Linked DNA regions of Coturnix japonica. The main gene of each other region encodes a partner of the protein of the gene in region 3 in a complex. Links are inferred from orthologs where the notes say so. Each region holds a gene or a part of one and is shown on either strand. Other genes may lie near its edges.

Evidence for each region. Proteins that work in one complex are often made in the same cells at the same time.
Region 1: the proteins of EED (region 3) and EZH1 are in contact, whole or in part, in a cryo-EM structure (PDB 7KTP), measured with the Homo sapiens proteins. The link is inferred for Coturnix japonica from reciprocal best matches to the Homo sapiens genes EED and EZH1. Residues at the interface, in NP_003788.2 of Homo sapiens: Cys84, Val85, Asn86, Ser87, Leu88, Lys89, Glu90, Asp91, Trp103, His104, Ser105, Lys106, Glu107, Val112, Arg120, Leu123, Tyr124, Gln129, Gly130, Glu131, Ile132, Arg133, Leu134, Leu135, Gln136, Ser137, Tyr138, Val139, Asp140, Tyr154; in NP_001982.2 of Homo sapiens: Gly37, Ala38, Lys39, Leu41, Tyr42, Val43, Asn45, Phe46, Lys48, Val49, Gln50, Lys52, Thr53, Gln54, Leu56, Asn57, Glu59, Trp60, Leu63, Arg64, Val65, Gln66, Pro67, Val68, Gln69, Ser70, Met71, Cys83, Thr84, Ile85.
Region 2: the proteins of EED (region 3) and JARID2 are in contact, whole or in part, in a cryo-EM structure (PDB 6C23), measured with the Homo sapiens proteins. The link is inferred for Coturnix japonica from reciprocal best matches to the Homo sapiens genes EED and JARID2. Residues at the interface, in NP_003788.2 of Homo sapiens: Pro95, Phe97, Tyr148, Arg306, Asn307, Tyr308, Cys324, Asp362, Ile363, Trp364, Tyr365, Arg414, Asp430; in NP_004964.2 of Homo sapiens: Pro109, Gln114, Arg115, Lys116, Phe117.

Annotation. Positions count from the first base shown.
Region 1 is NC_029542.1:4,628,321-4,634,593, reverse strand, and holds the start of EZH1 (histone-lysine N-methyltransferase EZH1), read left to right. Parts: upstream 1-1,978; 5' UTR 1,979-2,259; coding exon 2,260-2,306; intron 2,307-2,859; coding exon 2,860-2,980; intron 2,981-3,108; coding exon 3,109-3,237; intron 3,238-3,430; coding exon 3,431-3,550; intron 3,551-4,080; coding exon 4,081-4,201; intron 4,202-4,714; coding exon 4,715-4,888; intron 4,889-5,233; coding exon 5,234-5,336; intron 5,337-5,586; coding exon 5,587-5,750; intron 5,751-6,155; coding exon 6,156-6,247; intron 6,248-6,273.
Region 2 is NC_029517.1:67,903,496-67,909,561, forward strand, and holds the start of JARID2 (protein Jumonji), read right to left. Parts: upstream 4,296-6,066; 5' UTR 3,815-4,295; intron 1-3,814.
Region 3 is NC_029516.1:170,408,158-170,413,763, forward strand, and holds the end of EED (polycomb protein EED), read left to right. Parts: intron 1-818; coding exon 819-952; intron 953-2,085; coding exon 2,086-2,191; intron 2,192-2,692; coding exon 2,693-2,851; intron 2,852-3,226; coding exon 3,227-3,300; intron 3,301-4,139; coding exon 4,140-4,266; 3' UTR 4,267-4,476; downstream 4,477-5,606. UniProt on the Homo sapiens protein: Polycomb group (PcG) protein. Component of the PRC2/EED-EZH2 complex, which methylates 'Lys-9' and 'Lys-27' of histone H3, leading to transcriptional repression of the affected target gene.

The DNA of each region.
Region 1 (6,273 bases), on a different chromosome or scaffold from region 3:
CTACAGGAGACGTGTGAAAAATGAGATTACTTAGTGCTGCTCTGAGGCAGCCCTCCCCACAGGACCCCACCGCTGTGCAGCAAGTGTCGGACCCCCGGGCATCGCCCCACACCTCACCCTGGGCAGCAGAGGGGCTCCCGCAGCACGGCCGCTTCACAAGGCCGCTGTTTGTTTACTTGTGTATTTCTCTTTAATCCTGTCTGGGCTGGGTTGTGAAATCCCTCGTCTCCTGCGTGGAGGGCAGGCAGCCCGGCAGCGGGGGGAGTGGACGGTGGAGCAGGACGTCCCCGGAGGGTTCTGCTGGAGGCTCGGGGTCGTTACGGCCCCAGCCCCGTGTTCATGGCGCCGTGTGGCACCTGCCCCGGGGGCACGGGTGGGGCTGGAAGGGACGGCGGCGGTACCACGGGTGTGCGAGCCTCAAGCAGGCAGGAGGAGAGGATGGGGCGAGGGACTGTGGCTGCAGAGCTCCTCTTCATCCCGTGCCACCTCGGCTCCCACCTCAGGGCAGCGCGGTGCTGGCTCTGCAGGGTCCCCACCCGGGGATGGAGCTCAGGCCACGCGAGCTCATCTAACTGCTTGCCAAAGGCTGAGCTCCAGCCCAAAGCTTTCCCTTTAAAATCCACTCATGGGACTCACAGAGCACAAATCACACAGCAGAGAATTGCAGTTCATGGGGACCCTCCCTGCTTTGGAAGGATTCTATTGCTGTGCTGCACATTCCTGCTGCAACACACTGCACGTGCTATGTGCAGGCTGAGGCAGCCGCCACCCTCCTGGCACTTGGGAGCCCTTCAGCGGTACCGGGAGCCCACGAGGCTGCGGCACAAAGTCACAGCCCCATTCTGCACTTTGTTGTCACAGCCCTGGAGCTGCAGCCGGCAGCAGGAGCCTCTGCCAGGGTGACACCCGGTGATCTCAGCCGGCCACTCCTTGCACAGCCGGGGCAGTCTGCCAGCACCCACTGCTCCCCAGCCCCATTTTGCAAGCTCCCCCCAGCCCTTGGCTGCAGTGCTGTGAGGGGGACTCGACTGAGCAGCGGGGGAAGCATTTCCCATGTTCTGGGCTGGGCTGCAGCCGTCCCGAGCCCTGCTGCCAGCCTCGGCCCATGGCACAACGGGCACAGACGCAGCCTGGACCCCGCCTGCTGCTTTGACTCGCTCTGCAGCTGCCCACGTTGCGCTCTGGGGCTCAGCGCAGTGTGGGCAGTGAGGCTGCGGGGGTTGCGCTGGGTCCAACCCAGACCCCAGGTTCTGCCGGTAGTGGGAGCAGGAGCCGCAGCCCCGACGAGCATCTTCCCACCGGCTGCAGCTTCCCCCCGTGCCGGGGCGTATCACCGAGCTCATCTCGGCACCTTCCACCCGCGCTCAACCCAATGTCAGGGAAGGCGGAAGGTTCTGCCCGACTCAGCAGGACGGGCTCAAAGGCAGCAGATACGGCCAGGACCGGGGCTGAGCTGTGGGATGAGCAGCCAACGGCCCCGCTCACTGCCCGGACAGGGACCCGCGGGTTCCCCCCGCTCCTTCCGGCTGGGCGGAGGGGAAGGAAGGAAGGAAGGAAGGAAGGAAGGAAGGAAGGAAGGAAGGGGCCCGGCCGGGAGCGCGGCTGGGGAAGGGAGCGCCCGGCCGCAGCCCCGAGCAGAGCGGGGCCGGGCGGAGCCGAGTGGAGCCGGGCGGGGCCGGGCCGCGAGCGGCCGGTTCCGGTGCGGGGCGCCGCCCTTCCCGGTCGGAGCCGCAGCTCCGGGGCTGCACCGCGCGGGGCGGGGCGGCGGCGAGGGGCGGGGCTACGGCGGCGCATGCGCAGTGCGCGGGGAGCGCGGCCTCCCCCGGCGCGATGGCCGAGGAGTGAGTGCGGGGCGGGGCGGGGCCTGGGGTCCGGCGGGGGGCGGGGGGCGGCCCGGCACGGCGGGAGGGGCCCGGGAGGGAGCGAGGGGTCGGCGGGGGTGGGGGATGGAGCGGGGCGGTAGTGCCGTGGTAGTGCCGTGGTAGTGCCGTGGTAGTGCCGTGCCCTGTGGGGGCTGGCGGCTGCTCGTAGGGGGCAGATCTAAGTCCCCTGAGGCCCCGTGGGGCCCCGTGGGACCGTGGGCTGTTGTATGGGGTGCGCCGGGCCCGATGGACGGGGCAGCGCCCGGGGGTTGGGTGAGGCCTGGGAGCGGGCACCGGGCGGGGCAGCGGCTGAGGCCTGTCCCGGACACTCCGCAGTGTCACCGTCCCGGCAGCCACCGGGGGTCCCCGTGTCCCCTCGTGGCTGGAGGCTGCGGTGATGGGGGCCCAGGGAACCCCCGTGGGTGGAGTGGAGCGGCCCGCTGGGTACGTACAGCCCGGGCCGGGGACTCAGACTCCTGGATGGGAGCTGAAGCGTCCCTTGGGCTCACAGGGCGATGCCCGATGCCCAAACCCCCGGCTCCAACTTCTCCATCAGGTCGCACTGTGTATTCCCAGCCAGGAGCTGTCCTGTGCTGACAGCCTGCGCAATGTCCTTCCCAGCCTCCTGGCAATGAGATATTCTGAGCTGGATGTAACACTGCTCCTGACATGTTGGCCTCCCAGCGCCCTGTGAATCGAAAGATTACAAGCAGGAAGGAGAGCTGCTTGGACAGCGACAAGACAAGGGGGACTGTCCATAAGCTATAGAGGGCAGGCTTAAGTCAGATGTGAGGAAGCAATTCACTCCTCAGAGGTGGTGAGGTCCTGGCACTACTGCCCAGAGAGCTGTAGGTGCCCAAGGCCAGGCTGGGTGGGGCCCTTGAGCAGCCTGAGCTGGTGGGGGCACCCAGCTCATGGCAGGGGATGAGGCTGGAGGGGCTTTAAGGTCACTTCTAACTCATCGTTCTGTGAGTTTATTCTTACTGTATTTTCATAGAAAAATGGAAATCGCCACTCCTCCAACATCAAAGTGTATTATGTATTGGAAAAGAAAAGTCAAGTCTGAATATATGCGTCTCCGGCAGCTCAAGAGATTTCAGGCAAACATGGGAGCAAAGGTAAAGACACAGTGGCTCTGGTTGGAATGATCTCTGCTATAGACTTCAGTTTGCAGTATTGGAGCTTTTATCAGATGAGTGATGCATGATGAGAACTGTGAAGTGAGTGCTTCTTTCTCTCATTTCAGGCTCTATTTGTGGCCAACTTTGCAAAGGTTCATGAAAAGACTCAAATACTTAATGAAGACTGGAAGAAGCTTCGAGTTCAACCAGTGCAGTTAATGAAGCCAGTCAGCGGGCACCCCTTCCTAAAACAGGTAGGGAGAGCTGTGTTAGTATCAGTCTGTGCCTAGCACTCTTTCATGGTGCAGGGTAAAAACAGCTTTTACTGTCAAACACGGTGAGTGAACGCAGCCTTTGCTATGTTTGCCCTGAAGTGCTGTTTCTTTCTGTGATGGTGACAATCTCCCAGAGGCTGCTTCCTCACCGTCCTTCTCACTTCTACCCTAGTGTACAGTTGAGAGCATTTTTCCAGGATTTCCAAGCCAGACACTGTACATGAGGACGCTGAACACAGTGGCGCTGGTGCCTATCATGTACTCGTGGTCCCCCCTTCAGCAGAACTTCATGGTAGGTGGGAATACTCTCTGGTGCAAGGTCTTTGTGAGATTATTGTGTAACCGCAATGTCTGCTCAGGAAGACATGGTAGAAAGTTGTGTTGTGTGCTTTCCCTCCAAGCATGCAACACAACTTTCCCTTTTGCTCCCTGCTAAAACACTCCTCAGCTTCAGATGTATTCCTTCTAGAATGAATTGTCGTTTTGCCTCCTTCACTGTTCCAGTTTTACTCTCTTAATCACTACAACTTTGACATTTTTGGCTCTTCATTGTTCTTGGCAGTGTGTGTGTTTCTGTAACCTTTGGATACTGTTCTCTTCTTTTTAACATCAAATGCATTTTTTGAGGTTAGAGTTATTCTGATAGAATGGGATAGCAATGAAATGGCAGTGGTGAGACACATGAAATTTGAGCTGGGGAGGCTGAACATTTGCTTTATGCAGTGTTTTCTGCATGCAGTGGACGGGAGCAGCCTTAGAGACACAGCTTGGCTGGGAATTAGAAAGCGCTAGTTTACTGAATTGTATCTAATTGCTTTTCAGGTGGAGGATGAAACTGTTCTGTGCAACATCCCTTACATGGGAGATGAGGTGAAGGAAGAGGATGAAACCTTCATTGAAGAGCTTATTAATAACTATGATGGGAAAGTTCATGGAGAGGAAGGTAATTTGGGAGCAGAAACACTTAGCAGTTCAGTTTCTTGCAAGTAAGATATCAAAGTAGTTAAGAAATCACAAGATGGTAGCAGTAACCATCTTTTATCTGAGAGCACTAAGAGCAGAAAAGCAGAAATGCGTGCCTGCAGTTCTGGTTTATAAGGATGCACTCTTGGCTTTTGATCCCCCACTCTGTTCTAGACTCAGGATTAGGTGGAGTTCAGCACCGTCATTTCACTTGTGACCCTAGCCATGACTTGAAGCTTTTCAGAGACAAAAAGTCTGCATGCTTTCCTAGCTCATCATAAAACTGTGTAGAGGGTGGAGTGCAGCAAAAAATTCTGTTGTATGGGCTATCTTCAGGTCTCCAAAAGTGTTACAGCACTCTTAGGGCTCCAGAGCATTAAAACTCTACCCGTCCCTACAAAATCACCAGGAAAGTTTTTGTTTATAACTGTGTTGTGTGGCTGAAGAACATCAGTGGCCCTCCTACAGACTGACTGACATCACTGTATTTCAGAAATGATTTCAGGGTCAGTCCTCATCAGTGATGCTGTCTTCCTGGAGCTCGTGAATGCCCTGAATCAGTACTCAGATGAGGAAGAGGAAGGACACAATGATTCTGAAGTCAAACAGGAGGATGGGAAAGAGGAGCTGCCAGTCACAAGAAAAAGAAAACGAATTGCAGCGGAAGGTGGGTTTGGCTACAGAAATTAGTCGTGTGTTGGTCGTGTTTGCATCCTACTTTGCCTGAGGGAACACCAGAACTTCTTGCAGATGTAGAAAACTAATGTATGTAAATCCTGTCCAGGTAAAAATAAATGGTGATATTCCTTAAGAAATCAATATATTATCTACTCTGAAAGCAGTGGAGTACCATGTGGAAGTGCTTTAGCCTGCTTTCAAGACAATAGGTTATGTGTAATTGCATTTCTGTCTCTTAACCTGCAATCCAGAGCACCTGGAATCACTCTCAGGAAAAAGGCAAGTTCTATTCATGTGCAGCGTAACTGAGGAGTCATCTCTTTTTTTTCCGTAGGTAACAAGAAGTGTTCCAAGAAACGGTTTCCAAATGACATGATATTCACTGCCATTTCTTCTATGTTTCCTGAATATGGCTTCCCAGATGACATGAAAGAGAGGTAGATCTCTCCTTAAGTTGTTTGTTACTTTTGATAGGGGCAGTTAAAACGTGCATTTCAGAAAACAGCGCTGCGCATGTAGAGCTCACTTGGCTTCAGACACTCTGGGAAGGTCAATTTTTGAGTATTACAAACTTTGTTTTAGCTTAAAGATATCCAAACCAGAGTCATAAGATCTGTAGTCACGTGAAGTCCTGTTAAATGTCCCAAATTAGGAAAGCATACACATCTGTGGGTGTTTGTTGAATAGGTACCGAGAGCTCACAGAGGTGTCGGATCCGAACGTGCTGCCCCCGCAGTGCACTCCCAATATTGACGGGCCATGTGCAAAGTCAGTGCAGCGGGAGCAGTCCCTGCACTCCTTCCACACGCTCTTCTGCCGGCGCTGCTTCAAATACGACTGTTTTCTGCATCGTAAGTGCAGGCTCACTGGGTACTTTCCTTTTCTCTGTGTTATTGTCTGTTCTTTGTGCTCCTGTTGGCCTGGCCTTGGCGTCTGTGCTGCAGCTGTGAGAGGGTGGTGGCTCCCTGGAGAGTGCAGTGGAGCCTTTAGGAGCTGAGTATTTTTTGGTATTTTGTGGTATTTTACTTCCCATGTATTCCCTCTTTGCTGCTAAGTTCCCATTACTGGTTGAAGGAAGGCTTGGCCAACATGTCATCCACCTTGTTCTCTGTTCCTAAGATCTCCATACTCTTGGGGGCTGCATCCTACTCACACTTGTATTCATTCTTGCGCTGTCCCTGTCCTTTGTTTTTGTGATGGAAGATTCTTATTAGAAGATTTGTGTTGCTAACAGTAAAAATAACTTATTTTTTCAGCTTTTCATGCTACTCCCAATGTGTACAAACGAAAGAACAGAGAGACCAAGATTGAGCCAGATCCTTGCGGAGCAGACTGTTTCCTCTGGCTGGTATGTTTCTGCACCGTGACTTCTGA
Region 2 (6,066 bases), on a different chromosome or scaffold from region 3:
CCAGAGCTGCAAACCATAAACTTCAGAAATGTAAGCAGCTGGTGTGTTTCCCCTTCCCTCTCCACGTTCAAGTTGATTAAATGCAGTTACCGTACAATATAAAGAGGGGGGGAAAAAAAGCCTGTATTTCTCTTCTCCTTATGAGCTCCCAGTTATGTTCAAACTAGGAAATACCAGTGACGTGCATAAACAAAATACCACTTTTCAACCTGGAGTCTCCTTAGTTTCTGTCGATGGGATATTGAAATTGACCTACTTTAATGCTCCCGCAGCTGAGTCATCACTGTATCAACTGGTCCCCATCAGCTGCAGGGTACAATCATCACTTTAAAAAGTACCCACATATAAATGTTTTCTTTTTTCTTCATTATGTTCAAAATGCCCTGCTAATCTAACAGTCAGGACCATAATTAGGGGGGAAAAAAAAGTCTTGAAGAAAGTCTGAACCACATCAAGCAGTCTCTGTAGAGCAGATGCCATGCCTCATAGCAAGAGCCCAAAAGCTACACGAGACAATATTGGACCAGGCTGCAGAAGGAGATCAGTTCCATCGCTGCCGCTGTTACAGCTCATAGCTGCAGGCAAGTAATTTAGACCTCTTTCTGTTTCATCAAACAATAAAATGGAGGGAACTCGGCTACACTGCAAAATGAGCTGACGTTCATACCACCCTTTAACGTGCACCGCATTAACAGTTATTCTACATCTACAGGAAGGGTATGGGTAATATATTTTTAATACTGGCTTAGTAGGCCTCATAAGAGAAGGTGAGAGTGCTTAATGAACATTAGAAAGTCTTCACAGGGGCCTTGATTCGCTATAATTCACTCTGGACAGCATCTCCTGGCTCACAGTCTGTCAGAGCAAACAGGATCCTATTGGGTATTTCAGTGCAGAGCGTTTGTTGACAGCTAAATGTAAACGTTTGCTATAAATTAAAAACAAAAAAAACAACTTGGAATTACTAGTTTTCTGGTTACGTGCTGTCATGCACAACATAATGCTTTAGTCTCAAGAGGCCAGCAGGAGGTTAAGAGGAATGCAAACTCGGATCTCGACAGTGGCCAGCATCCACACACCGTGAGCTCAAGATACACACGTATCTAAAAAGAAATGAGTTCAGTGTGCTACAGTGCTGGAAGGGGTGCAGTGCTGGGGCTGTCTGTCAGCCCAAAAACAAAAAGGCTTCTTAAAGTTACTGAAACAAAACACAATGCACACTGAACCAGGATGCTTCTACCCACACTCAGAGGTGGATTTATGTCATTTCTTGTAGGAAATGGCCTCACTCAGAACTCATGTTGGTGTGAGGCAGGCGCTGCAGGCTGTGGGAAACAAGAGAACCCCACACCACAGGGAAGCCCTGGGGCACACATACATCCCCTGCTTGGGGTTGCTGCCACGTGGTCACTGTGCTCCAGCTCCAAGGGGACCCCACGCCCCAGTGCCAGGGCCCAGCAGTGCCACTTGGCTTCATGTTGGATATAACCAGCGAGGGTGCCGCTCACAGGACCCTAAGGACACAGCTATGAACGATTTATCAAGCACTATGTGAGGCAGGCAGTGCTCGCCCCACCTCAAGTAGGCAGATAGGTGGCTCTGCTTATAGGCCACACCAAGGCTACGTGCATCACCACGCAACACCTCAGAAGGGATGAGGGGGAGGTACACAAGGGGATAGTCAGGATACCTCTCCTCAGTGGCATTCTGCCATCTGTTCCCCTGGCAGAGCCGGGCAGGCAGGTTGGGACAGTCATCCAGACCTCAATGCGCAGAGGCCCAGGGAGGGAAGAACAGACGATGCGCTCTGTGACAGCACAAAAAACACACACCTGTGAAATTACAGTCGAGACTTCAAAGCTTCCCGTTTAAGAACTATTAATTCTGAGCGCATACCAAATGCAGTCTGGCTTCTCAGGTGATGCTTTACAAAGCTGTCAGCTTTCTGAGGCTGGAGCCAAAAGGCAATATTTGATATGTAAAGATGTTTGAGAAGGAGGAGGATGAAGCAAGATGTGAATGAGTCAGCCACAGCTCTTTTAAAAGCAGAACGATCGTGTTTTTAAGGAGCAGAAAAAAGAGGAAAAAATAACAACAGAAAAGAAGCATTCACACATTTCCACATTCATGGGTTATCAGCTGGGAGGGCCACGCAGAGTTTTGGGGAACTTCTCATAACCCCTCATGGCAAAGCAGGGGAACTTCTCATAACCGCAGTGAGTGAGGATGGCAAATCACCCCATTTTTCTCATCATCTTTCTGCTTTGGGGATTCGCTTCGCACACACCACAGACCTGAGAAGGCTATGCTCAAAAAGGGCAGCAGCATGACACTACCCAAAGGTCCTGGTAGAACAGGGCATGCCATGCGATGGAGCTGCATTGAGTGGAGCTGGGGGAGGGGGGGGTTTACATACCCCAGAATGGTCCCCTGCTCTATCAGTGTGGGTTAGTGCTCTGCTCCACAGCCACCCCACACCAAGGGCTCCACGGCTTGTGCCTGGACTCGGGTAGGGCAGGGTGGGCTGGCAGCCACCTGCAGACAACAAAAACCCCTGCGTGGCACCTGACGGCCTGGAGCTCGTCCCCACGCGGTGCTAAGCCGGCCGGGCAGGATGACTCCGTACATCCCCGCACCTGCTCACACCTGGGGCCGCCCCCACCCCGCGCCGCCCCGGGGCCTTCCCCCATCTCCCCCGCCCCGCCTCGGCTACGACGTCACGACGGAACGCTGAGCCGACGAAGCTTCCACGGCGCGTAGGCCCTTCCCTTTGTGACGACACGGCCGCGGGGCGAACCTGGCCGGGCGGCGGCGGCGAGGAGGAGGAGGAGAAGGAGGAAGGAGGAGGAGGCGGCTGCGGCGTGGCCGACAGCCGTGGGGCTTCGTCACAGCCCCGGCAACAGGTTGCTGCCGGCGGCTGAGCGCCCGCCCGCCCCGCAGCGGGGATGTCAATAAAAGGAGAAAAAAAAAAAAAATACACACGGGGAAATACGTGTGGAAATGAAAGGGAAACGTGAAAATGAAAGGGGAGGAAATCAAAGGATAAAAAAGTGGGAGTGGGGGGGAATAAATAAATAAACTGGGAGGAAAAAAAGGAATGATTTGGCTTGCAGGAGAGAAGTTGCAAGTTGAGAGCACGCACACACCGCGCTGCCCCCAACGCCCCGTGTGCCCTTCGGGCCGGGATCCGGAGCACCCCCCGCCCCGCTCCGCTTTGTCCGCCCCGTGTCCCGCAGCCGGCGGCGGGGGCAGCCCCGCTCCCTCCGCAATGCGGATGTCTTCGCCTCGACCGCCGGCCCCGGGCTGCTGGAGGAGGGGGGGGGTCCCGGGGAGGCACCCGGGGCCGCGCTGCGGGAGCGCAACTTTTGCCGTGCCACTACACAGACATACACGCGGACCCTGCTGCCCCACACCGGGGGCCGTGGGGCTTTTTAGGGCCGTGGGGCTTTTTGGGGCCGCGCTGCCGCTGCGCTGGATGCTGGGCCGCTCCCGAACGCAGCGGGGCCGCGGACATCCCCGTGTGCCCGGCGGAGACAATCGGCGGCCGCATTAAAAAGGCGACGCCGGGTCCTCCCGCAGCGCCCCGTTCCGCAGGCGGGTTAATAACGTGGGATCCTCCGGGATCCGACGGGACCCGGCGGGTCGGCGTTCCCCGTCGCCGTGTTGTGTCACCTGAGGTCAGCGCTGCCCGGAGCCCAGCGCGGCCGTCTCACCCCCCCCCCCCCTCCTTCACCGGCCCCGAAGTTGACGTTCGCTGCCATTTCCTAAAAGCGCGGAGAGTCAAGCGAGAAAGGAGAAGGGATCGGGGACTTACGTATTTCTTTTGAATTATATTCCTCTTGGGTCTTTCTTTGCTCATTCTGGTATCCAAATTGTGATCGCAAAAAGGGACGATTGCTTCATGAATTACGGCCGAGGCGATTCGGAAAAAAAAATAGAAATAATAAAATAAAATAGAAAATAAAATACCGAAAAATCCTCGGAGGGGGGAGGGAGGGAAGGAGGGAGGGCTGCTCGCGGCGGTCTCCGTAATCCCACTTTCTTCCCCGCACAATGTGATCCTCGTAGCAATAAATCCGAGGTGCGGGGATGGAAAAAAAAAAGAAGAAAAAAAAAAAAAAAAATCGGATGCGAAGGGAAAAATAGTAATAATACAAAAATCACTTCAGCGAGACATGGTCACGACGAAACAACCCCCCCCACCCCCCCTTTTCCTCCTCCTTCCTTTCTCGGCTCTGGAAAGCGACGCCCTTGCTCTCCCCTTCCCTCCGCCTGCAGGTCCGTGGCGCCGGGGCCGCCTTACATCTTGGAGGAGGCGCGGGGAGGCGGGCGGCGGCGGCGGCGGGGCTGCTGCTGCTGCTGCTGCTGCTGCTGCGGCGGCGGCGCCGGCACAACTCGTCGCGGTGCGGGCTGCTCGCCCCGTGTGCTCCTCCGGCTCCCCCCGAGCCAATGAGCGCTGCGCTCCGGCTGCAACTTTAAATGGACCTGAGGCTTTATTTTTTTTTTTCCTTTTTTTTTTTTTTTTTTTTTAATATATATGTCTGCGTGTGCGCGCGCGTGTGTATATATACACACAGACAGGCACACGCACACGCACACACCGACGGGCAGCGCTTAGGGCTCGCACGCAACTCCCAACCGGGCTTTAACCGCAACGCCGCCCTCACCGCCTTATGTGTATACACTGCAACGCCAATGCAACTTGGCGACGCTCCCTCACCGCGCGGCCGCCCTCCTCGCTCCCCGCCCCGCCCCGCCTCCTGCCGCCTGGGGTTGTCCCTCTGCTCGGCTCCCGGCTACGTTCTCCTCGAGCCTTGGCCGTGCGGCGCTGCCAGCCCCCGCTCCGGCCCGGCTCGACCGGTGTTGCTCGGCTTGGAGCCTGAGAACGGTCCCTTCGCTGTCGGGAAAGTTGTAGTTCCCTCACCACAAAATGGCGACCGGCAAAAACTACACCTCCCGGCGTGCTTGCTACGCCCCCCCTCCTCTCCTTCCGCACTTGGTTTCCCCCTCCTGTGTGCCTGCTTCCCTTCTTCCCTCCCTGCTGCTCTCGGGGGTGCGGGAGGAGGAGGTGGAGAAAGAGGAGGGAAGTTTATTGCCGGAGGGGAGCGGAGGACAGCTCGGCGCCGTGTGAGCCCGCCGGGACTCATGTGTCTGGGCTGCTGAAAGAGGCCCGAGGGGTCGAGCGTGCTGTGGTACCGCTGTCTCTTTGCCCCGGCTCTTTGCTCATCGCCGCCGGCCCCGTGTGTCCAGCTGCCGCCGGGGTGGTTCGATGGGGTGTGAGTCGGAACGGCAGTGTCAATAAAAGCTATGGGAGAACTGGACGCGAGGAGAACCGTGTGTCTTCAGACACGGCGTAGAGCTTTGGGAAGGGGGTATCGCGAATAGAGGGAGCAGCGATGGCTTCCTGGTGAGGTGTTAGGAAAGCTGCTGTGTGTTATTGGTGCTTTGCAGTGCAACTCAGTGCAAAGTGAGGGAACGCAGCTGGTGTATAACTCTAAATACGTTTATGTGCTACTACAGGTGCTCATCCCTGCTCCCCAAATGCAGGTTTCCAAGTGTGCTTTATGTTCTGCTGGAAGGCTGCAGGAAGACCTCACTGCAGCCTTCTACAAGCTGACCATGCTCAGCTCCCTCAGCCTGTCTTCATAGAAGTCCTGCAGCCCTTGGATCATCTTCCTGGCCCTCCTCTGGACCACCAACAGCTCAGTATCTTTCTTGTGCTGGACACAGTACTCTAGATGGGACCTCATAGGGCAGATTAGAGAGGGAAATATCCTTATTTTCATTTTGTTTCTTTGTATTACTAATTACTTTAGACATTTTTTTTAGTCTTCTTAGAAAGTAGTTAAGCCGTGCTCGGCCTCATCTGTTGTCAAGCCTTAATGGTAATCGTGTTCATCTTTTGAAGACTTTTCTGTAGGCCTCCTCTAAGAAAATGCACATTGTGTCCAAGAGTCTTTATGAAGAGAGATCTATAGCTCATTTAAATAGAAAATATGACAAATTCTCCTAGTATTCTCCAACTTTCTGCCCTCATTGATTTTTATGATGATATCCGTGTAGCTT
Region 3 (5,606 bases):
CAAAGGGTAGCAAGCCTATAACATGCAACTTTTTATCCTCCTGTGCACTGTTTTGATATTTTACCTGCTTTAAAAGAGAAGTGCATAAGTAAAGTTTAAATGTAGTGGTTTCATTGATCTGGCCACCTCTCCATAGTCAGGACAGGTGTTCACTTTCTGTATCTGTTTCAGTAGCTGGTTTTCTCACGACGCAGCCTAGAACTAAATAAGATAGAGCTTCATGGGGCTAGAAAGAGTTTATTATAGTCCCACTTGTGAAGTTCTTGTGGTCTTATCAAGCCAAAGCAACAGATCTTTTAGAGGCATGGTAGTGAAGGAAAGAAGTTCTTTCAGGTAAGTTATGCTGCTTTTCAGTGGCTACAAACAGATGCTGGTACCCAGTAAATACTGACTAGAGCAGCTGACTTTTAGCACACTTTTCATAACAGTTGTTTCCTTTTCTGTTGTGGGATTTGAATGGTGAGATATATATTTATTCAAGACCTGATGCTGTGTTCTCTTGTAGTCATATCCATACAGTAGCTCTGGAGTTGTGTCAGGATTCCTCTATAAAATGAAACCTAGGAAACTGACTAAAAGGGAGCACTAGCAGTAGATTTGTTGTTTGTCGGTGCTGCTGAATATGCCTCTGTTGATAGGGAGTAACTGTGGTTATTAAGAGATCGTGTTTCTTTGCAGTTAGTGAGATTAACTTATATGCAGTTTTTATTGCATTCTTTACACAGAAAAAGCTGTTTTGATGGAAATGTTTGCATAAAATCTGAGTTGATATAATGCAGCTTAGGCTGGGGGTGCTCAAAATCATTTCATACACATAGGATTATGATCTTCTTGGTGAAAAAATCATGTCTTGTGGAATGGATCACTCTCTCAAACTTTGGAGAATTAATTCCAAGAGAATGATAAATGCCATCAAAGAGTCTTATGAGTACAACCCAAATAAAACAAACAGGTATGTAGTCTTCATCTTCTTGGCTTTCTGGGGTTCTTTTTAAAGATTTTAAAATAAAAACTCTCATCAATGGCCCAGATTCATTCCTGTAGACATTGGAAGTTCTTGGAGATAGTGACCTGGGGATTGTGCTTGACATTGAATCTCTTTTGAAGATCTCTCTTCTTGTTGTTTGCTTCAGTAGAACTTCATTAAATTTCATTAACATTCCTACCACTTTTATTTTTGAATATCTTAATTACATCTTCATTATTTACTTGAGTAGGGAACGTCTGGGTTTATCATCTTTATCAGTCTTAAAGCTTGTATTACATCATGTTTTAAGATGTGTCAGTGCCTTTTTTCTTCCCACTTCCAAATTTCTAGGAGGGAATCCAATTATTAAACGTAGTAAGCAATTGAGTTTTATATTGTGTAGTTATCTCTAATTATTGAATTTGTTATCTGTCTCAGGGGCTGGAAAAAGACAACTCCTTATGTAGTATTAACTTTAATTTTTGTCATTGTCCTATCTGACTTCAGATTCACATAAATTGTCAGTTAAATACAGTGGTTAGTTATATGATAGATAAATTTCTCCTGACGAAGTTCATCAACTCTTTAATCTTAACTTCCAGTTAAACCATTGAGAGAATTGAAGAGTCTAAAACACACTGAACGTGTTCAGCAATGAGACTAGCTGTGAAAATGCTCTCGCTTTTTTTGGTAATGTTACCAAATATTAAATGATGCTTAAAAAAAAAAAAAAAGTAAAAATATTTCTTTTTTTTTATTGTGCTTTTCTGTTTAACAGTCTAGATGTTGCAAAATAAGCATCAGGAAGGTGGAGGTTTAATTAGTTCTTGAGGTACTTAGCAATGGGAGCTGTGCGCAGTTTCTGAAGGAGTGGTATTGCTTTGGTACAGTCTTTTATAATCAAGCATTTGGGAAAGTAAATTATTTCAGTAGAAATGAGATGAAAATGGACAGTTCCCATTTTAGGGGACAAAATCTACTTTGCAGCAAAACTGTTAAAAGATCAAAAAAGACAGACCTGTCCTTTTATCATTGAAATATATTAAAACTGGTCATTGAAAATTAGGCTTGTATTTCAGTGTTTCCCTGAATCTTACATGGCTGTTTTTTTTCCATAGACCTTTTATTTCCCAGAAAATCCACTTTCCTGACTTTTCTACAAGAGACATACATAGGAACTATGTTGACTGTGTACGATGGTTGGGTGACCTAATTCTTTCCAAGGTAAAGTGCAAGCTTTTTCAGCTACCTTGCTTTTATTTGCTTTTTTAGGCTCTTAAACAGTAGTAGTTTCACTAGAATACGAATTGTAGGTTAACTTATTATGCTGCATGAAATGATTTTATGTTAAAGATTTTGGTGTCTGTTTGCATGTGTAGATAAGCAGCTTTTACATCAAAAGTAAAATGAGTTCAGTGGTCAGAACTGTGCTAGAAGTAGCAACATGTCAACTACCCGTGTTCTGCATGAGGAGTACAGAAAGAGAATGAATATATAGTTACTCATGTAGGGTCCTGCAGCTGAAAGGAGAAATGAGGATTCATGCAATGGAGTTCCTTGGATTTGTGTGATAACACTAGCACTGCTTGCTCGGAGACATTAAACTACATGGTGGCATTGCATCTTTGGCAGAAATTGGTGCATGTGTGTTCTCCTAAAACTGAATGTTGTACGCTTTTTGTTGTTGTTCATTGTTTTTTTTTGGTTTTTTTTTTTCCTCCCTAGTCTTGTGAAAATGCCATTGTGTGCTGGAAACCTGGCAAAATGGAAGATGATATAGATAAAATCAAGCCAAGTGAGTCAAATGTGACCATACTTGGGAGATTCGATTACAGCCAGTGTGATATATGGTACATGAGGTTTTCAATGGATTTCTGGCAAAAGGTATGTGTGAGCTTGGACCTTGCTGTCCCTGAAGGTGTGTAGCCCTTCATTTATTCCATGTTTCTGTGTATGGGAAGTTTTGGTACCTGTGATGTGGTGTCTGAGTAGCAGAATGGTCTGCTGCAAGTGGTTTTATGGGAAACTGTTACGTTTATTGGTATCTTCCTCCTCTATCTGCAGAGGTAGATAACAATAATATGGGAGAAAGTAAGCAAATTATTTAGGATTTCCAACCACTTCATCAAACTTGTTAAGCAATTAATGTTCAAACATGTAAACATAACTGTAGAGTCTTCATTAAAGTTTGAGTTTTATGAGTTTCATGTCTTTTGAATAATACTGTAAGACTTCTCTATCCTCTGCTTTCTTTTTAAGATGCTTGCTCTTGGCAATCAGGTTGGCAAACTTTACGTTTGGGATTTAGAAATAGAGGATCCTCATAAAGCCAAGTGAGTACTTAATGCTCAGTTTTCTTTTTGTTGAGACAGGAATTTGGGGAACTTTCCTCTTTCTTTTACTGATAACTACTGATATTCTTAAACAGTGGTAGCCACTCTTACTACTAGGTAATTAAATGTTCTGAGCCCCTGGAGGTTACTTATTTGCTCTTCCATTCTATTATTCACATTACAATAGTGCCAAGAGGTACCAATCAAATTGTGTTGAGCAGTGTATGAAGATAAAGTGAAAGGATGCATCTTCCTCCAGTTGCTTGCACACTGATTAGGTAGATTTATGGAGCAATTAGGAGGAATAGATGGAAGGACTAGAGTAATGAGGGTACAAAGGTTAGCTATGAGCACAACCTGAAGGAAACAATATGGCTTTTCAGTTTCTTGCCTGCGTGGCCAGGTAATTTTATTGCATGTTTGAACACATGTACAGTATATTTGTGTACATCCAGTAATGCCTGTGTGTGCATATGTGAAAATACAGACACTCATATACAAAATTGCTGAAAAAAGCTGCAGTCTTGAATTGCCCAGTGGCCATATTTTACTCCAAACAACTGGAAAAGAACATTGATTACAAAGTCCTAAATAACACAGTTCAATAAGATTTTAATCAGTGCTTCTGTGAAAATTGGGTGGATGAGAATTGGCAGTGGGTGAACCAGACATCAGTGCTTTCCCAAGTCCAAATTTGGAATACAGAATACACTGTGATATAATCCTGCTACCTTCTGAATTCAAGGTCGCATAAGTATTTGGTGAAACAGCACTCCATAATGTAGTAGCAGCAAGTGCAGGTTTAACATTGCAGCTGAATAATTTTCTTTTATTTATAGGTGTACGACTCTTACTCATCCTAAATGTGTTGCTGCCATTCGACAAACCAGTTTTAGCAGGGATAGTAGTATCCTTATAGCTGTGTGTGATGATGCCAGTATCTGGCGCTGGGACAGACTACGATAAGTTACTTTTTCTTAATTCAAAGTAGAAAATATATATTTTCAGATTATAATATAGTCTGTTAACTTGCTAGTACAGTAGATGCGTTTAGCGTAGACTTTTCTCAAAGGTTCAGCAGGCTGGAGCTGAACTTAGTGATGTTTACATTCTGTGTATTGTTCTGCTTGAACTTTTGCTGCTTTCAATAAAAAGAAGTATTTTTGTAAAGTTTTCTGAATTGTCCATTTTAATTATTTACCTCAATAAGCTTTTGGTTATGGCCCATGGAATTGCTCTACGTACAGCTAGTGTGTAAATACGTAGTAACTTGCTTGACACTTTGTGTGTGTGCTTGAAGCTCTATTCATCCTTTTTTATGCTGACTAGAAACGTAGTGAAGCTATTGAATATCATCCAGGGATAAAACATTTGTGTGTGCATAATTGAAACGTTAATGCTTGTGTGCTGTGTAAGTAGTCTAAGATGTTGCAGAATAATTGTGTGAACAGTGGGACTGTTTAGTAACTGTATTTACTAAAGATTAACCATCTAGGGCTCCTTTTTCCTACTGTTCTCTTATCCTTTACCCTAACATTTTAATGGAAAAGAATACATTAGGGTATTACATACATATAAGTACAGTCTTTGGCAACATATTAGTGCTTTTTTTTTATTGAATTAAGGAGATAAATAGTTCTGTCTCCTACTGACTTTTCAAGAATATACTGATCTGGATTTTATCTTTCAGGATATTGCATTTGCCTCTGCGTTCCAGTTTGGGAAGCTCATAAATTCTCTGTGTAGGTGGCCTACCTGTTCAGCTTGAAATGGTATTGACTAAGCTTGTACTTAGAAATTGGCAGAACAATGAGACCTGGAGCTGGCAAGTAGTTTGCAAGCGTTAGTCTGTAACATATGATTAATTCCCCCTTATAGAAAAGAAAAAATATATATATATTGTTCTTATTCCTGGAGAACAGATGTAATACCTTTGTAGCAAAATAAACTGATGAGGGGAAAGATGACAAGTGAGACTGGAGGTTTTAATCTCTAGTTCATCTGAACTGCTAGCACAGCATGAACTAGCACTTAGGTGGCAGCAGCAGTGTGGGCCTGTGTATCTCATGTGTGTGGGCCTGGTAGTGTGAAAAGCTGTAGGAGAGGAGAATTGAGTTGGAGAGGACTCCAAAAAGGCTGTGGGAATACTCAGGCTTTCTCCGGATGAGCTAAACCCTATTCAGAACATAATGTTGGAAACTGATAGCATTGAGTGTTTGCAAATGTTGAAAGTGAAAAAGGACACAAAAGCAGTTGTGACTTTCAACGGTGGTTGTTTGTTATATTTTAAGTTGCATGTTCTTACC